Ovis aries: one gene and its partners. The protein of the gene in region 6 purifies or fractionates together with the protein of the main gene of each other region. This does not show direct contact. Links are inferred from orthologs where the notes say so. Each region holds a gene or a part of one and is shown on either strand. Other genes may lie near its edges.

What was found.
Region 1: the proteins of UPF1 (region 6) and EXOSC2 purify together in Homo sapiens (affinity purification with western blotting; 3 studies listed by BioGRID and IntAct, with this or other methods). This does not show direct contact. The link is inferred for Ovis aries from reciprocal best matches to the Homo sapiens genes UPF1 and EXOSC2.
Region 2: the proteins of UPF1 (region 6) and SLBP purify together in Homo sapiens (affinity purification with western blotting; 4 studies listed by BioGRID and IntAct, with this or other methods). This does not show direct contact. The link is inferred for Ovis aries from reciprocal best matches to the Homo sapiens genes UPF1 and SLBP.
Region 3: the proteins of UPF1 (region 6) and MAGOH purify together in Homo sapiens (affinity purification with western blotting; 3 studies listed by BioGRID and IntAct, with this or other methods). This does not show direct contact. The link is inferred for Ovis aries from reciprocal best matches to the Homo sapiens genes UPF1 and MAGOH.
Region 4: the proteins of UPF1 (region 6) and ILF2 purify together in Homo sapiens (affinity purification with mass spectrometry; 3 studies listed by BioGRID and IntAct, counting the BioPlex papers as one, with this or other methods). This does not show direct contact. The link is inferred for Ovis aries from reciprocal best matches to the Homo sapiens genes UPF1 and ILF2.
Region 5: the proteins of UPF1 (region 6) and NCBP1 purify together in Homo sapiens (co-immunoprecipitation; 3 studies listed by BioGRID and IntAct, with this or other methods). This does not show direct contact. The link is inferred for Ovis aries from reciprocal best matches to the Homo sapiens genes UPF1 and NCBP1.
Region 7: the proteins of UPF1 (region 6) and MOV10 purify together in Homo sapiens (affinity purification with mass spectrometry; 3 studies listed by BioGRID and IntAct, with this or other methods). This does not show direct contact. The link is inferred for Ovis aries from reciprocal best matches to the Homo sapiens genes UPF1 and MOV10.

What each region holds. Positions count from the first base shown.
Region 1 is NC_056056.1:5,933,725-5,937,977, forward strand, and holds the start of EXOSC2 (exosome complex component RRP4), read right to left. Parts: upstream 2,831-4,253; 5' UTR 2,814-2,830; coding exon 2,692-2,813; intron 1,064-2,691; coding exon 962-1,063; intron 1-961. UniProt on the Homo sapiens protein: Non-catalytic component of the RNA exosome complex which has 3'->5' exoribonuclease activity and participates in a multitude of cellular RNA processing and degradation events.
Region 2 is NC_056059.1:117,526,855-117,530,877, forward strand, and holds the start of SLBP (histone RNA hairpin-binding protein), read left to right. Parts: upstream 1-1,218; 5' UTR 1,219-1,298; coding exon 1,299-1,357; intron 1,358-1,478; coding exon 1,479-1,595; intron 1,596-4,023. UniProt on the Homo sapiens protein: RNA-binding protein involved in the histone pre-mRNA processing.
Region 3 is NC_056054.1:27,774,284-27,778,436, forward strand, and holds the start of MAGOH (protein mago nashi homolog), read right to left. Parts: upstream 2,821-4,153; 5' UTR 2,751-2,820; coding exon 2,663-2,750; intron 93-2,662; coding exon 34-92; intron 1-33. UniProt on the Homo sapiens protein: Required for pre-mRNA splicing as component of the spliceosome. Plays a redundant role with MAGOHB as core component of the exon junction complex (EJC) and in the nonsense-mediated decay (NMD) pathway.
Region 4 is NC_056054.1:104,112,156-104,116,453, reverse strand, and holds the start of ILF2 (interleukin enhancer-binding factor 2), read left to right. Parts: upstream 1-1,480; 5' UTR 1,481-1,531; coding exon 1,532-1,536; intron 1,537-2,228; coding exon 2,229-2,288; intron 2,289-2,495; coding exon 2,496-2,538; intron 2,539-3,106; coding exon 3,107-3,211; intron 3,212-3,584; coding exon 3,585-3,662; intron 3,663-3,970; coding exon 3,971-4,073; intron 4,074-4,298. UniProt on the Homo sapiens protein: Chromatin-interacting protein that forms a stable heterodimer with interleukin enhancer-binding factor 3/ILF3 and plays a role in several biological processes including transcription, innate immunity or cell growth.
Region 5 is NC_056055.1:50,020,831-50,024,928, forward strand, and holds the start of NCBP1 (nuclear cap-binding protein subunit 1), read right to left. Parts: upstream 2,805-4,098; 5' UTR 2,499-2,804; coding exon 2,465-2,498; intron 1-2,464. UniProt on the Homo sapiens protein: Component of the cap-binding complex (CBC), which binds cotranscriptionally to the 5'-cap of pre-mRNAs and is involved in various processes such as pre-mRNA splicing, translation regulation, nonsense-mediated mRNA decay, RNA-mediated gene silencing (RNAi) by microRNAs (miRNAs) and mRNA export.
Region 6 is NC_056058.1:4,158,453-4,161,987, reverse strand, and holds part of UPF1 (regulator of nonsense transcripts 1), read left to right. Parts: intron 1-1,584; coding exon 1,585-1,702; intron 1,703-2,102; coding exon 2,103-2,259; intron 2,260-2,447; coding exon 2,448-2,590; intron 2,591-3,535. UniProt on the Homo sapiens protein: RNA-dependent helicase required for nonsense-mediated decay (NMD) of aberrant mRNAs containing premature stop codons and modulates the expression level of normal mRNAs.
Region 7 is NC_056054.1:90,086,469-90,090,003, reverse strand, and holds part of MOV10 (helicase MOV-10), read right to left. Parts: coding exon 3,491-3,535; intron 3,304-3,490; coding exon 3,045-3,303; intron 1,736-3,044; coding exon 1,601-1,735; intron 983-1,600; coding exon 814-982; intron 1-813.

The DNA of each region.
Region 1 (4,253 bases), on a different chromosome or scaffold from region 6:
AACTGTCACCGGCCCAGGAAATAGCAACTCCACCCCTCCGGTTGCTCAAGCCACAGTCCTTGGAGTCTTTGGAGGAACCGTGTGTATCTCCCTCCTCCCCTCTCTCTCCTGCTCCAGGACAGGTCCAGCAGCAGATTCTAAGACCTCTACCTTACCAATGTAGGCAGAAAATAAAAAGCACCCCAAAGGAAGAAATAAAACGATCTCTTCTCACAGACATAGTCCTACGTGTAGAAAAGCCCACATACAAAATCCTACAGCTTTTCACAGTAAATACACGCAGAACACGAAATACACGCAGAACTGATCACTATTCCCCACTTCTATGGCTATCACCTTAGTCCAAGCCACCACCAACCGAGATGATGAGAACAGAGCAGGAATCTGGCTCCCTAACCCTGCCCCACCCCCGCCCCCAACAGCAGCCAGAGTGACTCCATTAAAACAGAGGGCGGCGGATCAGGTCCTTCTGCTCCAGGGCCTTCCTAGACCGCACAGAGTGGAAGTCAGAAACGTTTATCGTGGCTGCAGGGCATGCAGACTGCCTACCTCACCTCTCTGCATCTGCTCCTACTACTCGCCTGCTCACTCTGTTCCAACCCCACTGGCTCATGTTCTGGGGCTAACCTTTACTGAGCCCTCAAGGCAGACGGCTCTCTGTGTAAAGTACTTTATACACACTATTTCGGTGAATTCCAAGGAAAATCCTACCCAGGAGGTCAGGCAAGGTCTCATTTTGCAGGAGAGGGAACCCAAGTTTGAAGAGGTCAGATATCGTAGGGAAACCTTTGAAGCCTACCCTTACCTACAGTCATCTCTACCCTTCCTCCAGTCATGTTCCCGAAATCCCAGCCCTACAGAACGACAGGGCAGGCAGGGCTGGGGGTAGGGGGTGTGTCATGGCAGAAAAGACCTGGCTGTGCAACTCAGATGCCACAAAATACACACCTTTTGCTCTCACCTGGTTTTCAAAGCTTTTACACAGATCAACTTGTTTACTCTCTCCACAGAGCCAGCCACAGATGCAATGAGCTTCTCTTCCCCCATGTAGGTTCCATGGCCCCTGTTGCAACAGGAAGATACAAAGGATACCAGGGTAATATTTGAGGTGACCTCTAGCAGCCAGAACAATGTGTTCCTCAAATCTGATTCCTCCTGCCTCAAAGACAGGCTTTTCTGCTGGCTGCCACCTCTGCCTAAACACTCCTTCTTTAGAGTCCTACGTGGCCATCTCTTGCACTGTACTCAAGTCGACTCAAATGGCATTTTTCCACCAGGCCTTCCTCAACTCTCCCATTTGTAATAGTCACCCGCCCTGCGGCTGCCATCCCCACCATATTTCCAACTTATGCTCCACTTACCCTGCCTCACTTCTTTATTCTTTTCTACTGCATTTACCAGCAAATATTCTAAATAACTTGTTTGTTGTGCTTATTTCTCATCTGTCTGTCTCAGAACATAAAGTCCACCAGGACAGAGATTTCCTCTTTGTTCAGTTTATACCCCAACCACAAATAATATTTATGGACTGCATGAATAAAGGACTGAATCTTAAGATTTCCTGGGAACCAATAATCCCAAACTAAGAGGTTAAAGGGCAATGGAATAAACGCTGTACCTCTCTCATATGCATATGGGGGGAGGGCAGAGGCTGCCTGAGGTATGAGTAGTGTTGACCACTGTGATGGTGATAGAATGGTGAGTCTTACTTTTTTTCATAATCATTACCCCTCATGTAATCCTTCCCTGGTGGCTCAGACAGTAAAGAACCTGCCTGCAATGCCAGAGACCTGGGTTGGATCCCTGGGTGGTGAAGATCCCTGGAGAAGGGAATGCAACCCACTCCAGTATTCTAGCCTGGAGAATTCTATGGACAGAGGAATCTAGCGGGCTACAGTTCACCGGGTGGTAAAGGGTCGGACATGACTGAGGGACTAACTCTTCCACACTTTCACTTTCATGGAATCCTCACCATTCTCTGGAATAGTTATTTTACAGACGAGGAAACTGACCTCGGAGAGGTGATACAGCTAATATTGTGACGGCAGCAGGACCGGAACCCCAGCTGCCCTTAAGCTGGAGCCTGCCCTCAGACTCAAAGTTACCTATTCTGGTGCATGTAACATAATATATTTGCATGCCCCCTAAGCCCAAAATGGCAACCCACTCCAGTATTCTTGCCTGGAAAATACCATTGACGGAGGAGCCCGGTAGGCTACAGTCCATGCGGTCGCAAAGAGTCGGACACGACTGAGCGACTTCACTTTCTTTAAGCCCAAGCAATGGCTCGTTCCAAAACCGTGCCCCTGGCTAGGAGACGGAATGCTGAGGGCTAAGTGGAAGAAGTCAAAAACGCCCACCATCCCTTCCGCCGAAACCTGTGAGGAGGCCCTAGCTGCAGGTTCAACGAGGAAGGCCTCAGAATCGGGGCCTGAGGCACAGGACCCACGAGTCACAGCTACCAGTGATCGGGACAGGAAGGTTTCGGGGGAGCTGAGGCAGCTACAGACGGGGACATACAAGAAGCAGGAAGTAGGAAGTCCGAAGCCTCGAAAACGAGGCAACTGAGATGCTCCCAGATGCGCCCCGGGTACCGCGAGCACTTAGATGCAGAACACAGGCCCAGGTTTGATGCGGAAAGAGAGCAATGCAGCCGCCCCTGCCGCCCAGTGTCCCCACAACCCCACGTACCGCATGAAGCCTGTGTCCGTGGTGATCGTGTCCCCTGGCACCACTAGGTGCTTTTTACTCTCGCGGCCCAGGCTCTCGCTAAGAGGCTTCCGAGCGACGGGAAGCCTCATCTCCAACGCCATCTTGGCGCCAATAACTCGCGCAGGCGCAGCCCCACTCGGAGTCACGCTTTCCGTCTCCGCAATTTCCAGCCGTCGCTCATAGGGGCGGGGCCTCAGAACAGCCGCCAACGGGAACTCACGGTCTGGCCTCCATGTTGGCTACTGGCAACCATTAGGTTAACACGAAGGGAAGGAAGGAGTCAAGTTGCCATTTTTACTATTGGCAAGGCTGCTCTTGTCAAATAATAAAATCTCAGGTTGCATAGCGTTCGACTTTTCAGCAAAACTCTTGTGCTCATCTCACTTACTGTTTTCCAGGGTTATAAATAATTGTGAAGTGGGCCTCTGAGTTTCCTTCCAATTCAAAGCTGCTGAAATCTCTCTTCTTTGGTATGCGATTGACCAGGAGGATCAAGAGGAGAAAACACTATTTGGACAGAGGAAAGAGTCTCTTTTCGTACTGTTACTAGTAGCCCCTGTATTCTACATTACTGTCACTTCGTGAGTGCTAGTTCAGCACCAACCATCATCTACACCCCCAAACAGTGCTGCAGGTGCTGTTTCCATTCTTTCTTAAGCGAGCTGATTTCCCTGGTATTTCTTTTGGAAAAAGCAAGAAGCCGTCTAAGAACACATTTAAATCTTGCCAAGCGGGTATGTTTTGTCAGGGAGGACAAATGGACACAATACAAAGATTTTCGCGTACATTTACTCACACAGTGAAATGAGCCAGGAGCTGTCCTAAGGGTTCAGTGATGAACAGATGGAAGGATATGTGGTTTTATCTAGGCGTCAGGAGTATTTCGCTTGTCCCTCTCCCCAGGTGCTACCCTCTCCCTCACCCTTGGCCCTGCATGCTTTATAGCATTCGCAACAGACTTAGTTTCAACCTCAGGGAATTGGAGGTGATAATTCTTCATGCAGGCTTCCCAGGTAGCGCTAGTGGTAAAGAACCTGCCTGCCAATGCAGGAAACATAAGAGACACGAGTTCAATCCCTGGGTCGGAAAGATCCCCTGGAGGAGGGTACGGCAACCCACTTCAGTATTCTTGCCTGGAGAATCCCATGGACAGAGGGGCCTGGTGGGCTATGGTCTGTGGAGTCTCAGAGTCGGGAGTCGCAGAGTCAGGCAAGACTAAAGTGACTTAGCACAGCACAGCCCAGTACAGGGATTCTAAATAGGATGAAATAAAATAACTTGCATCAGCACCACTCACTGAGACCAGTAAATTAAGTCTGTTTTCTCCTGAAGACCCATCAGACCAATAGCCTGGTAAATCTTCAAAAGGATAGCATTTCTTTCACCTAAGCGTGGCTCACAACTACATTTGTCTAGAAAGCCAACCCTGTAAGGTAGTCAGTTATATAGATTCTAATTGCTCACAGGTCATCAGTAAGTGGACAGCCAGACACTTGCCCTCCTCCTTGCCTGGAGAAGGGGCTCAGTTCAGTTCAGTTCAG
Region 2 (4,023 bases), on a different chromosome or scaffold from region 6:
TGCACGGTAGGCCAGTGAATCTGGGACGAGGTGCTGAGGCAAGGAATACTTTATTCTGAGAGCCTGCTGACTGAGAAGGCGGCAGACTGTCTCAAAACAACCATGTCATTCGGGTCGGGATGCCAGATTCTCTCATAGGTCAGAGATGGGGGAGGTGAGGGAACCGTAAAAAGGCCGGTAATCTTGCAAATATCTCCTAGGATTGCAAGCCTCAGGCAGGGTATATGCTAATTTCTTCCTGCCTTCTACTGGTGGACAGGGTTCTGAACAAAAGGCACTTTAGAGTCTGGCAGAGAAGCAGGGTTCTCTGAGGCAGGGTTTATGTATGATTGTCAAAACAGTTCCAGCATGGAGTGAGAATTGGCTTTTCCCTAAAACATGGACTGTAGCCCGCCAGTCTCCTCTGCCCCTGGGATTTCCCAGGCCTGGAATACTGGAGTGGGTTGCCGTTTCCTTCTCCAGGAGATCTTCCCAACCCTGGGATTGAACCCAAGTCTCTTTTATCTTCTTTATTTGCACGCAAGTATCACCACCTAATGCCTGGAGACTGGCCAAAGGCCCAGCCCAGTGAGGGGGGGTAGGGAAGGGAAGGGGTATGTGTGTGTGAAGAACGTGACACAGGCTCACGGGTTGTGTGTGTGTGTGTAAACAACGTGACATAGGCTCAGGGGTCTGAGCATCTGACGCCGGCAGCGAGTTTTCGGGGCGCGAAGCCTGCAGCCCGAGGCTGCCTCCTCTTCCGGGTTCCGGGTTCCCGCCAGCGCGGACAAAGTCCCTGGCGTGCCGACCAATCGGAGAGCGCCCCAAACCTGGGCTCGGCCAATCGGAGGCGCGCGCTTTGCCCCCTCGGCGCGCCCGAGTCGCCGGCCGCCGAATCTCCCGCCAATACGCCTACCCTCCCCCCCCCCGCCCCGCCCGCGAAGGCGCGGCCAATCAGCGTCGAGCGGCCCGGCGGCCCGGCCGCCTCCATGGCGGAGGGGACACGCTTCTCTGAGGGCCTCGCCTCAGTCTCCCCGGCGGAGCCCCTTGGCCGCCCGGATGGCAGCGCGCGGGGCAGCGGGTTCGCGGCGGCCGCCCCGGCCTGGGCCGCCTGCGCGGCGCGCGCTGCGGCGGGGCGCCCCCTGGGCCGCGGCCCGATGGTCTCGCCGGCGCGGCGCGCGCGGGAGCCTGGGGGGCGGGGCGGCGCCCTATAAGCGCGGCTGGGGGCGGGGCGCGCGCGTCAGTCGGCGCCGCGCGGAGAGGAGCTCGCGCCCGCCGCCCGCGCCGCCGGCCCCGGGAGCCCCGCTCGCCGCCTCGCCATGGCCTACAGGCCGCGAAGCCCCGCCGGCGGCCAGGACCGTCGCGACCACGACGCCAGGTGAGGTCGGGCCGCGCGCCGGGTGCTCCCGGGCGGGCGCGCGGCGGGCGGGGGGTCCGGGCGGGGGTCCCGGGCGGGGGGTCCCGGGCCGGCTCGCTCTGACGCGGTCTCTCGTCGCCAGCCCTCCGCCCCCCGCGCGCTGGAGCCTCGGACGCAAGCGCACGGCCGACGGGAGGCGCCGGAAGCCCGAAGACGCCGAGGGCCTCGCAAGGCCGCCCAGCGGCCGCAGACCCGACAGGTGGGCCCGTTGCGGCGGCTGGGGGGGGGGGGGGGGCCTGGGCGGAGGTTCCCCGCACCTGGCTGACCGGCCGGGCTCGGGGCGCCCCTGGGTCCCCACCCCTGACGAGTCCCGGCCCCTGTGCGTCACAGCAGGACCGGGAGGCCCCTGAGGATCCGAGGAGGCGTCTCAGTGACGGGTGTCAACAAAACTGGGCTCAGTCTCAGGCAGCGGGCCCTGCTAGGTGCCAGGGGTGGCCTGGAGGGCCGCCAGAAACTTCACAGAGCGTCCCAACAGGGCGAGTCAGGCTCCCCCGAGAGAGTCAGGAAAGTTGGGTGTTGCAGCAGTCACAGAAGGTGGGCGCCAGGAGGCAAACCAAGACTTAGGCTCCAGGACCCTGCGTCCACCCTGAGGCTCCTGAGGCGCTTTCCCCTCTGAGGAGCCTTGGCCATTCTCATGCAGCTTGCGGTTTACTCGAGTGTTTTCTAGGCGGGGCAGCGTGCTGGGGAGGTCAAGACACTGCCAACCATGGTTTTTTTTTTTTGTTCTGCTTATACTCTGACACAGGTGGGTCAGCAAGTCAGACGAGGTATTTCAGGGAAACGAGTGGCTGAAGAGTACACGCAGGGGGTGTCCGGTGGTGAAGGCCGGCGTGCTCTTCAGATCCGTGGTCTGGCAAGGCCTCCGTTGGGATGAGCTGGGAGGTGGTCCCTTGAGGATCCACACACCAGGGCCCTCAGGTGGGGATGCATTTAGCTAGTGTGAGGACTGGCTAGAGGAGGACAAGGGTGGGGCCAGCTGCCATGTCAGGCGAAAGGGGCGGTGAAGACTGCCCAGTGGAGATGGTATGAGGAGCGTGTAGCTTCGGGTAGGCTTCCAAGGCAGGACTCTCAGTACTTGCTGATGGGTTGAGGGGCTGGTGCCGGGAGGAGTCAAAGACGACCCTAGCTTTGAGACCTGGAGACCTTGGTCTCTTATGAAACCTTGTTACCGGGATGAAGAGGATGGTGTGGACCAGACCTGGTCTGCGGAAGGAATTAGGCTTTAAGTTTTTCAGATGAGTAAAGAAAAGATATTGAGAAAGCAGCATCTAACAGTCTGGGTTGGGAGGCACAAACTGAGTTATCAGCACACACGTGACTTTTAAAGTTGTGAGAGATCTGGGAAGGATCTTGGGGCAAGATGTGAGAGGAGGAGAGGCTCTAACAGCCCTGGGGCTAGATGTGAGGAATAGGTTATTGTTTACTTGCTAAGTGGAGTTCAGCTCTTTGTGACCCCTTGGATTGCGGCACTCCAGGCTTCCCCATCCTTCACCATCTTCTGGAGTTTGCTCAAACTGATGTCCATTGAGTTAGTGATGTCATCCAACCATCTCATCCTCTGTTGCCCCTTTCTCCTCCTGCCTTCGATGTTTCTCAGTGTTGGAGTCTTCCAATAAGTTGGCTCTTCACATCAGGTGGCTAAAGTATTGGAGCTTCAGCATCAGTCCTTGAAATGAATATTCAGGTTTGATTTTCTTGTTGTCCAAGGGACTCTCAAGAGTCTTCTCCAGCACCACAATTTGAAAGCATCAGTTCTTTGGTACTCAGCCTTCTTTATGGTTCAACTCTAACATCCATGCATAATTACTGGAAAAACCACAGCTTTGACCGTAAGGATCTTTGTTGGCAAAGGGATATCTCTGAGTTTTAATACAATGTCTAGGTTTGTCGTAGCTTTCCTTCCCAGGAGTTATTGTCTATATTAATTTCATGGCTGCAGTCACCATCCTCAGTGATTTTGGAACCCAAGAAAATTGTTTCCCCATCTATTTGCCATAAAGTGTTGGGACCGGATGCCATGATCTTAGTTTTTTGAATGTTGAGTTTCAAGCCAGCTTTTTGACTCCTCTTTCATCCTCATCAAGAGGCTCTTTAGTTCCTCTTCACTTTTTGCCATTTAAGTGGTATCATCTGCATATCTGAGGTTATTGATGTTTCCCTGGCAGTTGATTCCAGCTTGTGATTCATCCAGCCCGGCATTTCGCATGATGTACTGTGCATATAAGTTAAATAAGCAGAGTGATGATACACAGCTTTACTGTACTCCTTTCCCAGTTTGGAACCAGTCCATTGTTCCATATCCGGTTCTAACTGTTGCTTCTTGATCTGCATACAGGTTTCTCAGGAGGCAGGTAAGGTGGTCTGGTATTCCCATCTCTTAAGAATTTTCCACACAAAGTCTTTCAGGTAGTCAATGAAGCAGAAGTAGATGTTTTTCTGGAACTCCATTGCTTTCTCCGTGAGCCAGTCAGTGTTGACAGTTTGATCTTTGGTTCCTCTGCCTTTTCTAAATCTAGCTTATACGTCTGGAAGTTCTTGATTCACATACTTTTGAGGCTTAGCTTGAAGGATTTGAGCATTACCTTGCCAGCAGGTGCAGTGAGCACAGTTGTGCAGTACTTTGAACA
Region 3 (4,153 bases), on a different chromosome or scaffold from region 6:
TAGTGAATGAAAGGCCCTCAGAAGATTCATTACCTCTTTTCTGATCATGACATCATTTTTGTAATTGCTGTTGTTGGCATATCTCAATTTCCCTGTGAGGGACAAAAAACAAATTCAATATATAATAAAAACATAAAGAAAGCGTCATTAGCCTACCAAGACTATCAGCTATTGCTTAAAATGTATCCTAACTTACCCTTCAAAGTGTCTAATAGTTTTAGTATTTACCCCTCTGGTGTTTCAGCAACACTAGTCTTTTCAGTTTTTCACTTTAGGCTTTGGTGAACAAAAAAATGCCACCTGCCTTGTCAGTAAACAAAGGCTGTTGAAGCCATTAAGCCATCAGCCACTGCAGCCACACCACCCCCAGCCCCTTCCCCAAGGGTGCACTCTGAGGGGATTCAGGATGTTGAAAACAGGATGCTGGTCCTGGACAGTTAAGGTGAATATCAAAGGAATGATTTCAAAGAGCCCAGCATCCTCCCATACAAAGAAAAATGCTAACTTCATTAACTTTAGATGTCTGGTATTTTATTAACAGTAACCTTTAGATGTTCTACCTGTTTTTTGTTTGTTTTGGGTTTTTTTTCCCCTCTAAAACCTCCTATATATCCTGGCTCATCCCTCACCTCTTCAGAATAGTCCCTCAAAGCTATCTGAGAGCCTGTCTCCCAGGCTTATGTCCCCAGTGTTTCCACTAAATAAAACAATTCTCAAACTTTAAGTTATTTATTTTTTTTCCCCAGTGAACACTATTAAATAACCTTCTAGCCAAAACTACAGCTGACAATGATTTACAATTCTTGCAAAAGACAGCTCAGGTGTGATAAAAGAACAGACTCTTGTGACTGGCAAATTGTATCTCAGCTGGCTAATGTCCTCAGCTGAAAATAGGAGTGATTGATAACCTACCTACACACAGGGCCTTCAGAGGCTCAAAAGAATTGTGAAAGTTTCTGAAAACTATAAAATGGTTTTTACATATATTTACATATGACTGTGAAACACTGATCTATTCCTTTTCTAAACATGATAGAAAAGCTGTGGTTTTATTATTGAGCATTTTTGGTATACAAGGCCCTCTGTAACATTGTTCATCAAACAGGCTGATTTGGGTATATATGGTGGATATGAAGAAGATAAAAGGAAATAAAGGAGATAATTTTTTCCCTATAGAAGGCACACTAAAAAGAGTGAAAACAACTGATGCCTTACTGCACTGTGTCTCTGCCTCAAGTCTCTCTCCATTCAGTTCATTCTCCGTAGAGTGGACAGAGTGAAACAGTAACAGATGGATCCAATTGGGTCACTCTAATATTGACATTTTAATACTGACAACGGCTCCCCACTACCTTCTTGATAAAGTCCAAAATCCTCAATGTGGCTTCCGGCTAAGCTGAGCTCATTTCCAGCCTCATTCCTACAACAGGACTCTCACACAGAGCTGGAGTTAACCAAAATACAGTTCACCCGTAAACGATGTATGGGTTAGGTGCCTTCTTTCCACTCCCAGAGTCTTTTCTGTTTCTTTCTACAACACCTTATACACTGTCTTATCATTGTTAACATAACTTTCTCCACAATTTGGGCTTGTCAGTTCATTCATGGGGTCCCAAAGAGTCTTAGCAACTGAACTACAAGAAGCTCATTTTTTATGCCTTCATTTAGTGGAAGCTTTCTGCCATCTTTCACTCCTTTTCCTTCACCATATTGGTCCCTCACCAAATCCTATCAATTGGCAAAGTCCTATTGGTTCTGCCTCCAACTGTATCCTAAATCCTTCTCTACTTTTACTATCACTCTAGTTCTAACCAACATCCTTTTTCTCTTAACAATTGTAACCATCTCCTGTTATAGTTCTAACCAACATCCTTTTTCTCTTAACAACTGTAACCATCTCCTGTTAAGTAGTTTTCATTCTTGCCTATTCTGCACCTAATAATTACAATACTTTCTCAAAAATAGATTACACCTCTGCTTAAAACTTCCCAATTGCTTCCTGCTGCACTTAGAAAAAAAAATCCAAACTCACCAAGACTGTATGAGGTGGCCCCTGCCTACCTAATTGACATCATCTCCTACTATTCTCCCCGGAGTTTTCACTGCTCTTCAGCCACAATGGCCACCTGAAACATGCCTAGCTCATCTCTGCCTAGAATGTTCTTTTCCCGAGCTGGCTCCTTCTTTGTCAATCAGAGCTCAGCTCGAACACCGGCTCTTCAGCGAGTTCTCCAATAGCTATCCTTCCTTAAAGCGGCCCATCAGCAATTGTTCCATCATTTTATTTTCTGATCACTCAACACTATCTGGGATATTTTTTTGTTTACGACCTCCCAGTAAAAGAATACAAGCTCCACGAGAGAGGAAGCTTGTTTATCGTTCACTCCTACACCCCAGATTGTGGAAGTGAGACTGGCACAGATAGGTGCTCAAGAAAGGTTCGTTGAATAAAGCAATATGGTCAAAATCGTCACTAAACAGAAGCCCCAGCACACGGACAGGAAGAATCAGTGGGGCGGACAAGGATCGTTCCTTCCAAATCGGCGCCTCACACCCTTGGTCCCTTCCTCTAGTTTTTCGTACATTACGGATCCCCGGCCCCCCCACTCTCCCGCCCCCAGGCATAGTCCTCGCTCCCGGGGAGCCGGGAGGCTTCTCTCACCGTCGGGCCGGAACTCAAATTCCAGGAATTCGTGGCCGAATTTGCCTTTGTGCCCCACGTAGTAACGCAGGTAAAAGTCACTCTCCATGGCTCGCAAAACGGAGACAAGACCAAACTTTTAAGAGCAATCCGCACCGCCGCTAAAGGCGCCCAACACTGACGTTTACTGCGGCGCGAGGAAGTGACGTTAGGAAACGTCATCGTGCGTCGCGGAGCGACTCCCTCTCTCCTCCCACTTCCGGAGATGGGACCAGGCGACTTTTCCCTTCCCGCCGGAATAAAGCCCCTTTCCCCCGGAGGCGAAGTCTGTTCAGCTCCGCCCCCTCGGCCTGCGACTGGGAGAGGGTGAGGGCTGTTCGTCAGTATCCCCATTGGGCTTGAGGCCCAGGCTCCAGTTTCAATTAGGATACCCAACAGTGTGAGTCGAAATAGGCCCTTCACCGTCTCTGAACCTAGGTCGTCCCATCAGTAAAACAGGGTTAAAGGATCCGACCTCTTGGGAGAACGCAGCGCGGCGCGGCGCGTCTCTAACGTTGGCTCCGACTGAACTCTGCTGTTTAAAAATCAGTTCAAGAAACTTCTCAGCGACGCTTTCCCTAAATCCACAGTGGACCTTGCCATTTTTTTTTTTTTTTTTTTGCAACTAACTCTCCCGCACTTATTCTCCATTTTATCTCTTTCTACCTCACTTTTTCCCCTTTTTGCCTCACTGGTCTCTAGATGAGTTGTTGTGAGTAAGAGTTAAGTTTTGAATGTTTGATCTCCCACTCCATCCGCGCAATTGAATCGCCTCGGACGGAGCACCTAAAAAATACTGGTTCCAAACCAATAAAGCCAAAATCATCCACAGTGAACCTGTGTGTTGGTGTTTACTTTTTCTCCGCAGTTTGAATCAGGACTGTGAACTACTGTCCAGGAAGCTCGTGTGTTTTCAGGCCTAAGTGGTTGACTGCGAATGTTTTCTCGGCTGTGGAAAATTTTTTCCTCCTTGATTAGGCCAAGGGCAACTAAACTCTTATTAGAAACCTGCTTTAGCTCGTCTAAGTTCCAGCCAAATGGAAAACGGATTTGTTTCTAGAGACAGTGCTGAAATGGCATCATTTTGAGGGCCTGCGAAAGAGTCAGACGCGACTGAGCACGCGCGACTATAGCACTATTCTGTCTTCAGGCTGCTTGCCATTTCCTTCTCCAATGCATGAAAGTGAAGTTGCTCAGTAGTGTCCGACTCCTGGCGTCGTCCCTGAATCTCATTCCCAATCTTGCCGTTACTACTTTTCTCCCCGAAAAAGTATTGATAATAGAATGAAGAGTGGGTGCTGGGGTGGTGGGTGGGGGGAATGTCACTGGAGATTTGTGTTAAAATAATCCCTCGTGTGACAGTGATTCACTGTGACCAAAGGTGAACTGATTAAACTTTTTGGACCTCAGGTTTCTTATCTTTAAAGTGAGCATAGTAATGTTCACTTTTCATTTTCATGCATTGGAGAAGGA
Region 4 (4,298 bases), on a different chromosome or scaffold from region 6:
GAACTCTCAATTGACAGAAGCAGAGAAGGAATAATAAACAGTAATTAATGCAAAAGAAGGCAAGGAGGATAAACAGGATTATAGGAAGGACAAAAAGCACCTTGGAAGAAAAGTTATGACCAACCTAGATAGCATATTGAAAAGCAGAGACATTACTTTGCCAACAAAGGTCCGTTTAGTCAAGGCTATGGTTTTTCCAGCGGTCATGTATGGATGCGAGAGTTGGACTGTGAAGAAAGCTGAGCGCCGAAGAATTGATGCTTTTGAACTGTGGTGTTGGAAAAGACTCTTGAGAGTCCCTTGGACTGCAAGGAGATCCAACCAGTCCATTCTAAAGGAGATCAGCCCTGGGTGTTCTTTTGGAAGGAATGATGCTAAAGCTGAAACTCCAGTACTTTGGCCACCTCATGCGAAGAGTTGACTCATTGGGAAAGACTCTGATGCTGGGAGGGATTGGGGGCAGGAGGAGAAGGGGACGACAGAGGATGAGATGGCTGGATGGTATCACCGATTCGATGGACGTGAGTCTGAGTGAACTCCGGGAGATGGTGATAGACAGGGAGGCCTGTGCTGCGATTCATGGGGTCACAAAGGGTTGGACACGACTGAGCGACTGAACTGAACTGAACTGAATATGAATTGATGTAAATGCAACCACAGTATATCCATATACTTGGCTGTGAAACTTTGCATAAAGGTGGAATCCGCCAGAGAGGTTGTAGAATGAGGAAAGGAGAGGAAACGACAAAAAATGGCAGCGGTCTGGTCCTTCTCTCCTGTCGCTTCCCTTGCCCTCCTTTTCTGAGCTCTCTTTCCAAAGGCTGTCTCAGTTTCCCTTCTAGTCCCTCACCATCAGTACTTTCCCTGAGTCAATCAACATACATACTCATATCCGTTTCTTCTGCTTCAGCCTCTGTGAACCACATCCAGACATGTAGTGTTCACAGTCACCCAAAATCCCTTCCTACATGATTTCGGTTGCCTTTTCCATTTCACTCGCTGATGGCAAAAACAGCTTTTAAAGGCTGCATATTTTGAGGGAGAGAAAAGTAGGATTACGGTAGTTACATTTACTGAAGAAATTTAAAACAGAAAAACTGTCCCAGGAGAAAAAAATTAAAAAAGCACCGCTAGCAGAGGATGGTTTCGATCCATCGACCTCTGGGTTATGGGCCCAGCACGCTTCCGCTGCGCCACTCTGCTGTTGCCGTTTTCACCCCCCAAGAATCATAGAAAGGTCTCTAGATGCCAGCCACACTAATTTCTTTACACAGCGCTCTCTAGTGTCTGCAAAAGGGCGTTAACGTCTAACCTGTTCTTATTGGCTAGTTACTGACAGAGCAGGCCCTTTTCATTGGCTCAATAAACCGGTTTGCCAAAGCAAACCAATAGGCACAAGCAGCGGAGTACGGCGGGAGCCAATCGCGCTGGAGTTTGTTGGGACACGCCGGCAAGCTGCCTCTCCAGTTGTCGGCTCCCCAGAGGAAAGGGGCGGTTGGTGTGGCCTCCATTGTTCGGGATCTAGGACGCCATGAGGTAAGGGTTGTGGGGTGCCCTGGAGAGGTTTCAGGTATTCGACCGAAAACTTTAGGAAGTTGGTCCGAAAGGAGTCGGCGGACTGGAAAGGGCCATGTACCTGGGGGTTGCACGGAAACCTGAGAACTCCGGCTCTAAGAGAAGGGGAGGTCGGGGGCAGTGGAGGCGGGGAAACTTGGCCGGGGATGGGGGGTGGGGCCCAGGAGTCGAGAGGCGGTTCCGACTGTTCGCTCTCTGGGGGGTTCAGATGAGAGGGTGTCCTCAGGTTCCAGGAGGAGCACCCCCACACCTCCTATTTAGACTGAGATGGCTGGAACGTGTCTCATTCATCCTCAATGCCAGTTGCTTGACATACACGATACGCCTGATAGATGCTTTTACTACATGAACGAATGAATAAGCAGTCACATTAGTCTGCGAAGTATTAGGGTTGGCGGGACCCGGCGATTATGGGATGTTTCTTGTAGGGCTCTCTTTAATGTGGTTTGATGTGAATCAGTTATCCAGTCATGGGGAGTGAGGCTGGACATTTGGAAGGTGTAGAAGTGTAAGTGAGAATGGGATCCTTTGGCTTCCAAAGGGAAGTGCAGAGCGATAGAGGTAGGCTAACCTGAAATCATACGGCCGGTACCGAGGAGATTGCTTCAATGAGATGAAAAGAAAGTTAAAATATGTTAATAATGCATTTCTAGGGGTGACAGAGGCCGCGGTCGTGGCGGGCGCTTTGGTTCCAGAGGAGGCCCAGGAGGAGGGTGAGTGCCAGTCCTTAGCATCTGTGCCCGTTGGTTTCCCTTTCAGTCATCTAAATAGGAGTGGAGTATCTTACCTGCCTTGTTGAGATCCAGCTGTAGTTTAGAAGTATTCTTCTCATGCTCTCTTGATAAATGAGTTTGGCCCCATTATGTGAAGTCAGTTTGATTTATGTGGTGAGTAATCTGGATTGTTTTTCCGCTTTTTAGGTTCAGGCCCTTTGTGCCACATATTCCATTTGACTTCTATTTGGTGAGTACGGTGTCTCTTCCCTGGTGGCTAAGAGGTTAAAGTGTCTGCCTCTAATGCGGGAGACCTAGGTTCGATCCCTGGGTGGGGAAGATCCCCTGGAGAAGGAAATGGCAACCCACTCCAGTATTCTTGCCTGGAGAATCCCATGGACGGAGGAGCCTGGTGGGCTACAGTCCATGGGGTCGCAAAGAGTCAGACACGACTGAGCGACTTAACTAACTTAACTTTGGCCACTATTCAATTGTTGTTTCTTGGAACCTGGTGTCTCCCTGTTAATGAAGTCATGTGGTAGTTGGAGTAGAAAAAGGGAAGTTTTGAGTCATCTGTGTTGCTTTACATACAAAAAAGTATAACCTGGGTGGGGAAGATAGGTCCTTCATTACAATCGACAGTAACATGATTATAATCTTTGTTCTGAACAGTTAATTGTATCACTGCCTTGTCTGTTAATATTAGGGTCACAAGAGTATAAGTGTTGTAGAATTATCTCTTTTTTTGTGTTGTGGCAACAGAAAAATCTGTTGCATATTATTTTTGGCAAGTAGTATATAGTATATTTCTTGTTTAGTGTGAAATGGCTTTTCCCCGGGTCAAGCCAGCACCTGATGAAACTTCCTTCAGTGAGGCCTTGCTGAAGAGGAATCAGGACCTTGCTCCTAATTCTGCTGAACAGGTATATTCTGTTGGTTTTCTTCCTGAGATTTCATGAAGGAAGCTAGAGAAGTAAATAGCTACTTGGTGAGATTACTGTTGTCAGAGCCTGAACTCCACAGGTTTAATCATTCTTATTTTTCATTGTGTGTAAAGGGAGAGCATCAAGTGAATGTATAAACAGATTACATGTGCGTTCATATTATTATTGGGGAATCTGTCGTTGGGATCAAAGTTTTCTCTTCTGGCATATTCAAGGCTGGGAGGGTCTGGGTGCTTTCAGAATCCGGTATAGGTGTTGATTCCTATTGAAGGAATTGGGGAAATAGTCAAACTTGATGAAAAGTTGCTTGGTATTTCACCTGAGGGTATTTTTGTTTCCTGCTATTTTTCAGGCCTCTATCCTTTCCCTGGTGACAAAAATAAACAATGTGATTGACAATTTGATTGTGGCTCCAGGGACATTTGAAGTGGTGAGTTTTTGAAGATCTAGTCCTAGGAAAGGGAAGTCATGGAAGTGTGAAAGTTTCCTTGGTTCCTGTCGCTTGATTCTTCAGATGCTTATTTAAAGCCACTCTTGGAATGGGAAAGTACAGTAGAATTCCTTTGTCGTGCTGGTCTTAGGGACCAGATTCATCATTGCTATCAGCTAGCTGTAATGAATCAGGCTTTTCATTGCTCATTTTGGAATATGATTTGAACTCTGCTACTTCCAAATCTGGGTAATAAGCTTCTCACTTGTAAGTTTTGTTTTTTCTTTCTTAAATCCCTTTTCCAACAGCAAATTGAAGAAGTCCGACAAGTCGGATCATATAAAAAGGGAACGATGACTACAGGACACAACGTGGCTGACCTGGTAGTGATCCTAAAGATTTTGCCAACATGTAAGTGTGCCTCTCTTTGGCCACAGCAGCAGAACATAGCAGTTGGATTTGAGGCATAGGGATTTAAATGGTGTGCTGTATGTGAAAGAATGTATGACCAGTTACTGCAGGACGGACTTTGCTCCCCAGGGGACATTCAGCAATGTCTGGAGATGTTTGAGGCTAACGTCTTCTGGTAGAGGCCAAGGTTGCTGCTAAGCATCCTGCAGTGGACAAGACAGACCC
Region 5 (4,098 bases), on a different chromosome or scaffold from region 6:
ATACAAAACAGCAACTCCTCCCTGACAAGAGCCCTACCCTCTTTAACTGGTTTTATTTTTCTCCACCATACTTAACACCATATGATACACTGTATTTACTTGATTGTTCTCTGCCTGTAAAAGTGAGACTGCACCTTTTATCGTCGACTGCTGTACTGCCAGGAGTTAGAACTGTGCCTGGCACTGTTAAATATTTGTTGAATAAATTACTGTGTCTAGTCAAGCACACAGAGAGTCATGGCAGTTAGGGACTGGTAAGAGCTGACAATAATCCAGAAATGCTTAGATGCATCTATTTAACACAACAAAAATTTGGCCTATTTTAAAACAGCCTTCTATAATACTTAAGTTTTCAAAATTTCTGGTTTAAAAAAAAATTTAGTAGGCATTTAACCAAAAGAAAGTTACCTAAAATATGTGACTCAGATCACCATTTAGAATAAACCCTAGCTGATGATTACCCAAATTGTGGCAATTTACGAAAGCTCCAGACTTGGTGTAGTATCTAAGAGGGGTTATAAACTGCCCTTCAACTACTAAATTATTTATAGTAAACGCTGCTTAATTAACTCCTTATTTTGTTTTGTCTTTATTTATTCTGAGATTTCTGCACCAAATGAACAGTGATTTAGCTGCCAGAAGCTAACTCCTAAGAACGTTATACCAGCATCCCAATAACCAAAGCAAAAGTTGTTTTTCTACAAATTTACATCCAATTCTCCAGGATGCCCCTTGGAAAGATTTTCTCTCCCTTTAGGGATACCCTAGAAAGGAGATGATGAAAGAGTAGAGAAAGCATGAGAAGAACAAAGACAATGGGAAGAACTTTAAAAGACCCAAGTTCTCCAAATCCCAAGCGATGACTTCCAGGAGATTAAATTAACAAATCAGATACAAAGCACACGAAAACTATTTTCTGTGCCCTGTATGTACATTATGTTGTGTTTAATAAAAATCAAAGATACAGCATAGGAATACCTGTGTAATGTAACTCTCAACTTGCTTTCACTGGTATCTGGGCACTGCTAATGCTGTCTCCATGTTAATTACACTAAAACTGTAGACCTCAGGTGTGAGGTGAGCAGGCTGGGGTAGAATATCCTCCCAAGCCAAGCTCTAGGAGAAATCTGATACACTATTAAAACTAAGTGGGGGACATCCCTGGTGGTCCAGTGATTAAGACTGAGTGCTTCCTCTGCAGGGGGCACAGGTTCAATCCCTAACCCTAACTAAGATCCTTATACCACGGCCAAAAAAAGAGACAGCAACAAAACCCAAACCAACAAACCAAACAAAAAACCTTAAATTAGTGGGATTCTGCTCCTACCCCTAAGTTACCCCAACATTCAAGGAGAGAAAAATGTCAGTGGAGAAAATTAATTCAATTTTTTTTGTTCTGTACTTTTTATTAGAGTCACCATCTGCCAATGATTATCAGCTCTTAAGCATTATCAGGTGATAAAATACACATCTTCACGAGCAATTAGTTACATGTGTTACCTCTCACAAAACCAAAAGGTTCGTATCATTATTTCTAAGTTAGAGAGTAAGGTTTAAAGAGGTAATATAACCCAGGCAAGATCACAAAGTAAACAGCAGGGTCTGGCTTTGAAAAGTCCTCTGATTCCAAAGTCTGGCCTCTTAACCACCAAACTACACTCTTCTCGAAGAACAATACCCTAAACTATTAGTAACAATAACTGTTAGGTTTTCTGTTTGTTGGATGTGTTTCTGTTTCTTGACTGATTTTTGCAAGATAAATATCTTTTCTATTTTTAGCTAGCAAAATTATTCTTGGTTTTTATTACATGGCAACTCCATGATCCCCATGAGCTCAACCATCCAAATGGTTGATCGAAATCTCTAGGAGCTCTCCAGTTAGTCTTCCAACACTCTATTACACGAGGGAACTATGCTTACACTCAGCTCAAAATGTAACACAACAATCTACGTACATCTCTTTCTTAAGAGACCTCTTGGGTGTGGATAAGACCGATTTCTTTCCCTATCGCTTGGAAGAAGGCAAGACGACGGATGACGGGAACAGGAGAAAGCTCAGATCGGGACTCAGCAGATCTCTCATCTTTTGAGAGTCCTTTTTAAGTGCAATTTGAGGGTCAAAACGAGACACTGGGTTGAATAGGTCCCTAAGAAGCGGAGGCACAGACACAGGTGTAATTCCCTGCTCGGCGATGCTAAGAGCCAAATTTTGAAGAGTTCCTAGGGACCGGGGTCCACCAGGCCTCCCCGTGGCCAACGACTGAGGAACTGGGACCGGGGGAAGCAGGGGCTTTCCCAAAGTTGCCCGGCCGCACTCCCGCCGTGCCACCCCCTTCTCTACGCGGCTCCCTGAACGCTCCTAGAGGAAGGGCTTCCCGTCCCTTCTCTCGAGACCCGAACACCAGGGAAGCCAAACCTCCGCCCACCTGAGCGCGGCCTCGGCGGCCGGGCTTAGGGCACTCACCATCGTTCTCGTCGCTGTGCCGCCGCCGCGACATGCCGCACGCTGGTGCTCCGCGGAGCTGAGACACCGGTCACGAAGCGCGGCAGGAACCGTCAGGCCGCCGGCTGGCGGGAGGACAGCGGCGATGCGCGCGGAGTGGCCGGCGCGCAGGCGCTGTCGGTCGCGGCGGCTCCCGGAAGCACAAGGCAGGATGGCTGGATGGCTCCGCGAGCTCGGATCCAGGAGAGCCGGCTCTGGAAGCTCACCAGGCCGGTGGCTTCAGTCCAGCACGCAGCGACCCTCTCGGGTTACCTCCCCCTCTTGGCTGCTTCCTTCGCCCGCCTTCGCTGAAAGCCCTTCCGGGGCCACGCGGAGAGCACCGCCTCTTCCGCCAGGCCGAACCCCGCAGGCCGCGAGCCACGCCCGGAGGCGGGTCGTCTAGGAGGGACCCTCTAGTCCTCACCTCCACTTCAGCCCCTCTCTCGGGGCCTCCGCGGGGTTTTCCCGGCGGCCCTTTCGCCAACGGCCTAACTTCCGGAGCGAGGTGCGGTACGGCGTTCCTTCCTAAATACAGAAGGGGGCTGGGAGTGCGAGGGCTGCGAGCGGTGGCAATTGCTAGGCGGAGACTGCTCGGTGAAGAGAGATCTGAGAAAGGATCAGGACGGGCGGGTACGTGCTCATCTTTCTCCCACTTCCCGGCCTTTGCCGGCTGGGGAAAGCTGGGCGGAGAGATTAGGCCAAGCCCGGAGCGCGGGGTGAGGCCGGGGTGCGAGGCGGCTCCAGCGACCCGGGGACAGAAGGACCCTCCGAAGCGTGAGCCAGCTACTCCAGGGTTACTCTCTGGCCGTCATCTGATCTCTCGATCCTCTGACTTGTGGTTTAGGAAAGAACGAGTGATTGCTTTAGTAACGTTTTCAATACTTATCGTGTACCTCCATACGTGTATTTGAATATCCCTCGCTCTGACATCTCTGGTGAGCGCTATGGCTGCGTATCTAACTGCCTGGTCCTTAGCCATATGAAATTTTCACATCTCTGAAATGGAACTTTTGTTTCACTCTCCTGGCCTAATCTGTTCTTCCTTCAGTTCAGTCGCTCAGTCGTGTCTGACTCTGCGATCCCATGAATGGCAGCACGTCAGGCCTCCCTGTCCATTACCAACTCCTGGAGTTTACTTAAACTCATGTCCATCGAGTCGGTGATGCCATCCAGCTATCTCATCCTCTGTCTTCCCCTTCTCCTCCTGCCCCCAATCTCTCCCAGCATCAGGGTCTTTCCAATGAGTCAATTCTTCGCATGAGGTGGCCAAAGTATTGGAGTTTCAGCTTTAGCATCAGTCCTTCCAATGAACACCCAGGACTGATCTCCTTTAGGATGGACTGGTTGGATCTTCTTGCAGTCCAAGGGACTCTCAAGCGTCTTCTCCAACACCACAGTTCAAAAGCATCAATTCTTCAGCGCTCAGCTTTCTTCACAGTCCAACTCTCACATCCATACATGACTACTGGAAAAACCATAGCCTTGACTAGATGGACTTTTGTTGGCAAAGTAATGTCTCTGCTTTTGAATATGCTATCCAAGTTGGTCATAACTTTCCTTCCAAGGAGTATGCTATTGTTCCATGTCCAGTTCTAACTGTTTAAATTTCATGGCTG
Region 6 (3,535 bases):
TGAATTTTTTTAATTATTTAAAATTTTGGGGTTTTAAAATACAATAAATATCGGTAGTTGTAATGCACAGAAATAATAGCTGTTTGGACTGCTCCGCTTTCAGAGTGTAGAGAGATGCTGAGCGCACCATTCGTTTGAGAACTGCTGGTTTAGAGTCTTGTTAATGCCAGCAGCCCATCACACCGGCTTTGTTTAGCCCACTTTGTGGATGAGGAGACTGAGGCGGGACGTGTGAGTGCCTGTCCGCGGCACGCGGCTGCTGTGCAATACGGTCCCGACCCTCGGGGTGCTGCTGGTCTGGTGGGTGGCAGGACCAGGAAAGGCCAGGTCACGAGGAGCTTGTTGGGGGCGCCGCCACCGGCACTGGCACAGACTCCCGCTGGCCTTGCTCCACCTTCTCCACGGCGTCGGCTCCACAGGGTAGAGGTTGCTGGCGATGCTTCACTGCTGGACCGTCAGTGTCTGTGACATGGCACCCCCGAAGTAACTTTTTAAAAAACTCTGAGGAGTGTAAAGAAGTGCCAGGCTTAGTGAGTTTTCATTAGGGGACCGTGTCTGTTACCAGCGCCTGCACCTGCACGCTGCCTCCCCAGCACCCTGCAGCCCGGCAGTGAGCCCTGTCTGGGATGGTGCTGGCGCCCTGCCCCGGGGTGGCCGACATCAGTGGTGTGGGCGTATCTACAGCCTGGAAATTAGCCGGCACTGGCTAGCCCTTGCCTTGTCCCTGGCAGGTGGTTAAACATTTGCCAGCGCCGAGCTTGCTCTAGCCACTGCCCTCACTTGAAACATCGAGTCTTTGCCTCATTATCAGCTTGACATAAAAGGGATCATACCGTGTGTCCTCACAGCTCAGGCCCTTCCTTCATCTGTGGTAGTCTATTTTGGTGCAAAAATTCCAGTTTTCTTATATTAATCTGATTAGGTGTAACTCCAGTCAGAAATTCCCAAAAGAATGGGTGGACTGTCTGATTGGATAGACTGATTTTCAGCATCATAAGGACTTGCAGAGGACTGAGCACTTAAGATGAGCATGAAAGAGCTTGAGGATGGTGGCAGCTCATACTTGGGGATGTCACGAGCTACTGTCCAGCTGCAGTCCCAGAGACGCTGCACACAGGGCCTGAGAGAGTCCAGAGGCAGACCCGCCTGTCCACAGGCCCTGGTTTGGGACAAGACGTTGGGCATCAACAGTGTCATTGTTAAAAGCCAGGTGTGGGTGCATATGAGTCCCTTAAGGTACATCATAAACCTTCTGAAAGAAGATAGAATATCTTCTTTACCCTGGGGCAGACATAGGCCACAGAAAACACTTAACAGTGAGATCTGTTCTGCAAGTAAGCCAGCTTTGTACCAGGTATAGTGCTAAGTGTTGCTGGGAGTTTCGCTCAGAGGACCCCCGCCGATGGCCTCCCCTGGGACCCACAGACCTGGGGCAGTCGCTGGAGCCTGCCCTTTCCTGCTCTGCCGTGTGCCTCTGCCCAGGATGGAGTGGCCTCCACTCCGCTCTCCACCCCAGCGCACCCAGACCGGCCGCGCTTTGCTTCTCTAACAGGATGTTTTCTTTTTTCTCCTCCACGATGCCAGCGGATCGTGTAAAGAAGGGGTTTGACTTTCAGTGGCCCCAACCGGATAAACCAATGTTCTTCTATGTGACCCAGGGCCAAGAGGAGATTGCCAGCTCAGGCACCTCCTACCTGAACAGGTAAGCAGAGACTTGTCTGTGGTGCCTGCTGGCCTCAGGGACAGCTCTCCCCGGGACTGCGCGCCTGTGGTCTCGTGTTCTGCGGTGGCGAGCCTTGTCCTGGTTCCCTTGCGCTCATTCTGTTCCCACTCTCAAACCAGCAGCGTGGGTCCAGCCTCATCTTTTCAGTGTCTATTTCCTGTTGAGCAGATCCTTTAGGAGCCCCCGTGTGAGTCTTTTCTGTCCCTCCTGACTCAGCTGGTAAATGGTGGGCTGCCCAGCCACGGGTGTGCCAAGCAGGGCCTCCATAGGGTTGTACTGGAGGCGAGGCTGCCCCGAGCCTTCCACAGCCTCTAGTCCTGGGGGGTGGTCTCAGGAGCCCAGAGATGGAGCCTGGGAAGTGAAAGCCTGACTTTCTTAGGACGGAGGCTGCAAACGTGGAGAAGATCACCACGAAGCTGCTGAAGGCGGGCGCCAAGCCAGACCAGATCGGCATCATCACCCCCTACGAGGGCCAGCGCTCCTATCTGGTGCAGTACATGCAGTTCAGCGGCTCCCTGCACACCAAGCTCTACCAGGTGCGTGCCCGCCTGCTCCGCCGGGCCCCGCCCCAGGCCCTGCCCTCCACCACCTGGCAGCGGGGGGCCCTGCCGGCTTCAGGTCCCAGGCTCATCTGTGGGATTCAGTGGTGCATTTAGATAGACTGTGCGGGCTGAGGGCTCCTTGGAGGAAGCCTGTTGGCTGACCGTGCTTACTGCCCCTGTAGGAGGTGGAGATTGCCAGTGTGGATGCGTTCCAGGGCCGTGAGAAGGACTTCATCATCCTCTCCTGTGTGCGGGCCAATGAGCACCAAGGCATTGGATTTTTGAATGACCCCAGGCGCCTCAACGTGGCCTTGACCAGAGCACGGTAGGGAGAGCTGCATATTGCAGGGGCGGCCCCTCGTGCGTAGGAGGCTTTCCAAAGTGCTGGGAGGGGTTGGCCTGAGAGCTGCTCCCGGCCTGCTTCTCTTCCTGTCAGCTCTCACACCCCAGCCGCGCCTTGGGCTGTGGCACGGGGCGCGGCAGAGGGCTCCCAGCAGCAGTCTGGAGAGGACCTCTCACCCGTGAGTGGTCTTTGTTTCTGTGTCCTGGTGGCTTTCTGTCCAGTTGCCTTGTTCAGCTCTGGAATATAACTTTCGAAATAGTGAGGGACCCAGAGAATCAGGTGGACCCCATGTCACCCCCACATGAAACCAGATAGCAGCCACCCTTGTACCAGCTGCAAGTGGGACTCACATTCACATGTTGGTTCCCTCCCCACTGAGGGCACCTTGCTTTTCATTTGGTAGCCAGCATAGGCGGGGAGCCCCGAAACAGCTGATGAATGTAAGCTTTCCCCCAGAAGCTTGGCTTGGGCATCAAGTGCCCAGCCCATCAGAATGCCTGAGGCAGCTGTGGAGTCTGCCCCTGCCACGTGTGACTTAGTTGCCCAGGAGGCTGACTCAGGTCTGCAAATGAGGAGACTCGTCTCTGAGTTCATTTTCCCACAGAGATGTTTTGACATCTGGGCTCAACAGAAACCTGCCCTCAAACCCATGTGCAGGGTTGGCAGCTGACAGGATGGGCTCCAGTGAAAGTCACCCCAGTTTGCAGTTACCCAACCATCCCCAGCATTCCCAGAGGGCGCTGCATAGGCAGGCCAGGCGTCTAGGCAGGGAGGTTGAGGGTGGCTCTCAATGCTCCTGTGGGCTGAGAAGACAGGGGCATGGTGGGCAGGGTGCCAGGGGAGCTGCCTGGGCACCTTGTACTTTCAGTTCAGTCTCTCAGTCATGTCCGACTTTTTGCGACCCCATGGACTGCAGCACGCCAGGCT
Region 7 (3,535 bases), on a different chromosome or scaffold from region 6:
AAGGGACAAGTTTGCCCAAGCTGCTCAGAGATGCTGAGTCCAGGAGTCCTGGCAACCCTCCAGGGCACGATTTCAAGAGCCAGGGGTCAGCTTCCCAGTAAGTCCAGCTGCCCTCTTGGCCAGTTCAGTTTCTACTCTGCCTGTAAAATCTTGTTCAAAATTCAGTTTCTGCAGGAAACATTCCCTGATCGTCCTCACTTGCTGTCTTTTCTCACTTGGTGCCTTTCTCAGAACATGGGTGCAGGAATCCATTCTCATGTGCAATTCTGGACTTATGGATACACATTCAACATCTGAGAGCTGGAGAGGTCTCTAAGAATTATCTTCCAGACTTCCCTGGTGGTCTAGTGGTGAAGAATCCACCTTCCAATGCAGGGGACTTGGGTTCGATCCCCAGTGGGGGGAACGAGGATCTCACATGTTGCAGGGCAACTAAGCCTGCACGCTGCAACAAGAAAAGCCTGCACACTGCAATGAAGATCCAGTGCAGCCAAAAAAACCCCAAACAGATAAACAAAAAAGAACACGAATCATCTAGTTCAGCTCCATGCTTTTCAGGTGAGTGAACTAAGGCCCAGAGATAGCGAAAGACTTGCCCAAGGTTACAGAGCCAAGTGATAGCCAAGTCTGGGCTAAAACCCCCGTCTTCCCTATTACCCTGCTCTGACGCCTCTTTCGGGGGCCTAGATGCCTATTCTGCTACTTGCTGAGCCCTCTGGGACAGGAACAGCGTCATTATCCTTTTGTTCTGCCCACAGTCTGTGGGTTGGCTAACTTCAGTCCATCCTCCCTACTACCAACCCAAGCCCTGACCTCCAAGGTGAGCAGACGGGGGTTCCGGTCTATGGGGTCCCAGGTCATGGGCACTGACTCCAGGTCATAGTGCCGGATGTCGTGCTCCATCTGCAGCTCCTCCAGGTGCAGCAGCAGCCGGAGCTTCACCTCATAGTTCCTCCACTTCAGGGCTGTCTGAAGCTGGGCCCTGGCAGTGATGGGTGGGGAGATGGGAGGGGAGGGATAGGAACAGGATGGGTCAGGCAAACCCCATGTCCCGGAGCACCTCTCCCCCTGCAGCCCTGAGACTATGAAAACGTCAGGAATCAGGGAAGACTAGAAGAGCAGAGAAGCAGATGGGGGTCAGAGGCCTCTAAGAAGAGAGTCCCTGCCCGCCAACCTCAGACCTGCATTGTGGATCCTGGAGCCGGAAACACCCTCTCTCAAAGATCCTCCCATGACTCATACCCTCACCCCATTCAAATGTCATTCTCTGCTCAAATGTCACCTCCTCGAAGAGGCCAGGACTGGCTGTCCTCTGCAGAACAGCACAGCCCACCCCTTACCCTGCTTTAACGTTGGTTAGTTCTTCATAGTCCTCATCACTACATAAGATGAGAAATGCTCACTTTCCCCAGCTACAATGTCAGGGCCTTCATGTGAGTGATTCACCTTGAATGCAGCCTGACACATGGTGTGTTGGCCAGTCAGGGGATGAATGAACTGAGCATGGGAGGCTGAGGACAGAGGCATGGGGTAGAAATAGGAAGTGAACAAAGAAGAAACATATAAAGCAGTGTGAAGGGTGCAGACGGATGGTACTTACTTGATCTCAGCAATCTCCTTCGGGGCAGTGAAAATACTTGTTCCCCGAAGAAGGATGGGGAGCAGCTGTCTGAGGCGGAGGGGTGGGTAGTATGTTCCCAGTGGCAAACTGAACTCCAGGTCATAGTTCTTAGCACTGCAGGAGGGGGGACAAGAAAAGCTATTACAAACACAGAGACCCTTCACCTTCAGAGACTCTGAGAAGGCCCTTCCCTGGGCTAGGCACAAAGCCCTGCTTCGATACTACTGCTGAAAGGGGTCAGTAGCCTTTGCCCTAGAAGAGAGGACTCACTGTCTCACGAGGCTGCTCATGCCAAGGCTGGACCATTTTCATTTTTAGAAAGCATGATACTTGAAAGCATTAAAAGAAAACAAAACAAAACAAAAATATATATATATATACTATATGGAATTCCCTGGCAGTCCAGTGGTTAGGACCCCATACTTCCATGGCAGAGGGGGTCTGTCTTTGATTCCTGGTTGGGGAACTAGGATCTCACAAGCTGTGAGGTTATCTATATATATATATACATATATAAACAATATATGTTCATTAGAGAAAAAAAAATCAGAAACTAGGTAATTAATAAATAAATGGGTAAATAAACAACATGCTTACCATCCAGGGATAACCATTGTTAACTTTTTGATATGTAACCTTCCAGACATTTTTCTTTGTCAATATGTATTATACAAATATATTTTAAATTAATTAGCCAATTAACTAATTAACTTCTTGGCTGCCCTGCATGGTTTGTGGGATCTTAGTTGCCTATGAGGGATAGAATTTGTGCCCCCTGCAGTGAAAGCTTGAAGTTCTAACCACTGGACCCGCAAGGAATTCCCCTATACATATATTTGTAGCAGAAAGAGCACAGTGGTCTCACAGTTTGCTTTTATAGCTCAGTATTTTGTGAACACCTGGACATATTAAAAAGAGATGTCTACACCTATGATTCCATTCACATGACATGTCCAGAAGAGGGAAATCGAAAGAAGTACATGAGTGGTTGGTGAGGGCTAGGAGGCGAGGGGGCCGGGGCACAAAACGGGTGATAACTAAAGGGTATGGGCTCCTTTTGGGGGTGATGAAATGTTCCAAAATGGATTGTGATGATGGTAGGGCCTAACTGTGAATATGCTAAGGAAATCACAGATTGTACACTTTAAAGGAATGAACTGTATAGTATGAAGTTGTTTCCATAAAGCTGTTATGACGGAGAGGGGGAGAGGAAGAGAGAGAAACACGACCACCCCAGCTGTCTGATAATGCATCATACAGTCAAAAATACTTGAAACTTCCACACTGTCCTCATATCCGCTTTTCTTCTTAGAAAAGGTCTCTGAGGTCTGGAGGAGTTAAGAACTCACCATCAGGAAAGGGGCCCATATGGTGATGTGGGGAGGGACCCCCGAGCCTGAACTGGGCTGGACGGAGGACTTACCGGTCGGGTCTCTCTCCTTCCTCTATCCGGCTGGTCACCACAGGGTTGCGAGCGACCTGGGTCCGCTTGAAGGGAGTCGTGGGTTTCAGCTGTGCTGCCAGGGGACTGTGGGCCACGGCGGCTAAGAAGCGGGCGATGTAGAAAGTGCCAGCTCCTTCTGAGCCTGGCTCTCCAGGGCCCAGCAGCTCCCAGAGCACTGTGGCTGGGAAGTAGCCCACAAAGCTGGTCTTGCAGTGAACATGGAGCTCATAGCATTCACCTAGGAGAAGACAGCTAAGTGAGTCGGGTTGGGGAGGGAGCTGCCCAGGAGCATCCCAACCCTGACATCCCCCAGATAGCCCCTACCCAAGGCAAGCCCCACCAGCCTGCAACAGCACATTCCTGAAGCAACAGACCCTCCTAGGGCAGGCCTCCGGCCACCAGAGGCTCTTTGAGAGCCCACTCACCTGGGCCCAGGAGGCAGGGCAGCTCCCGGTCTCCATTGCAGAAGG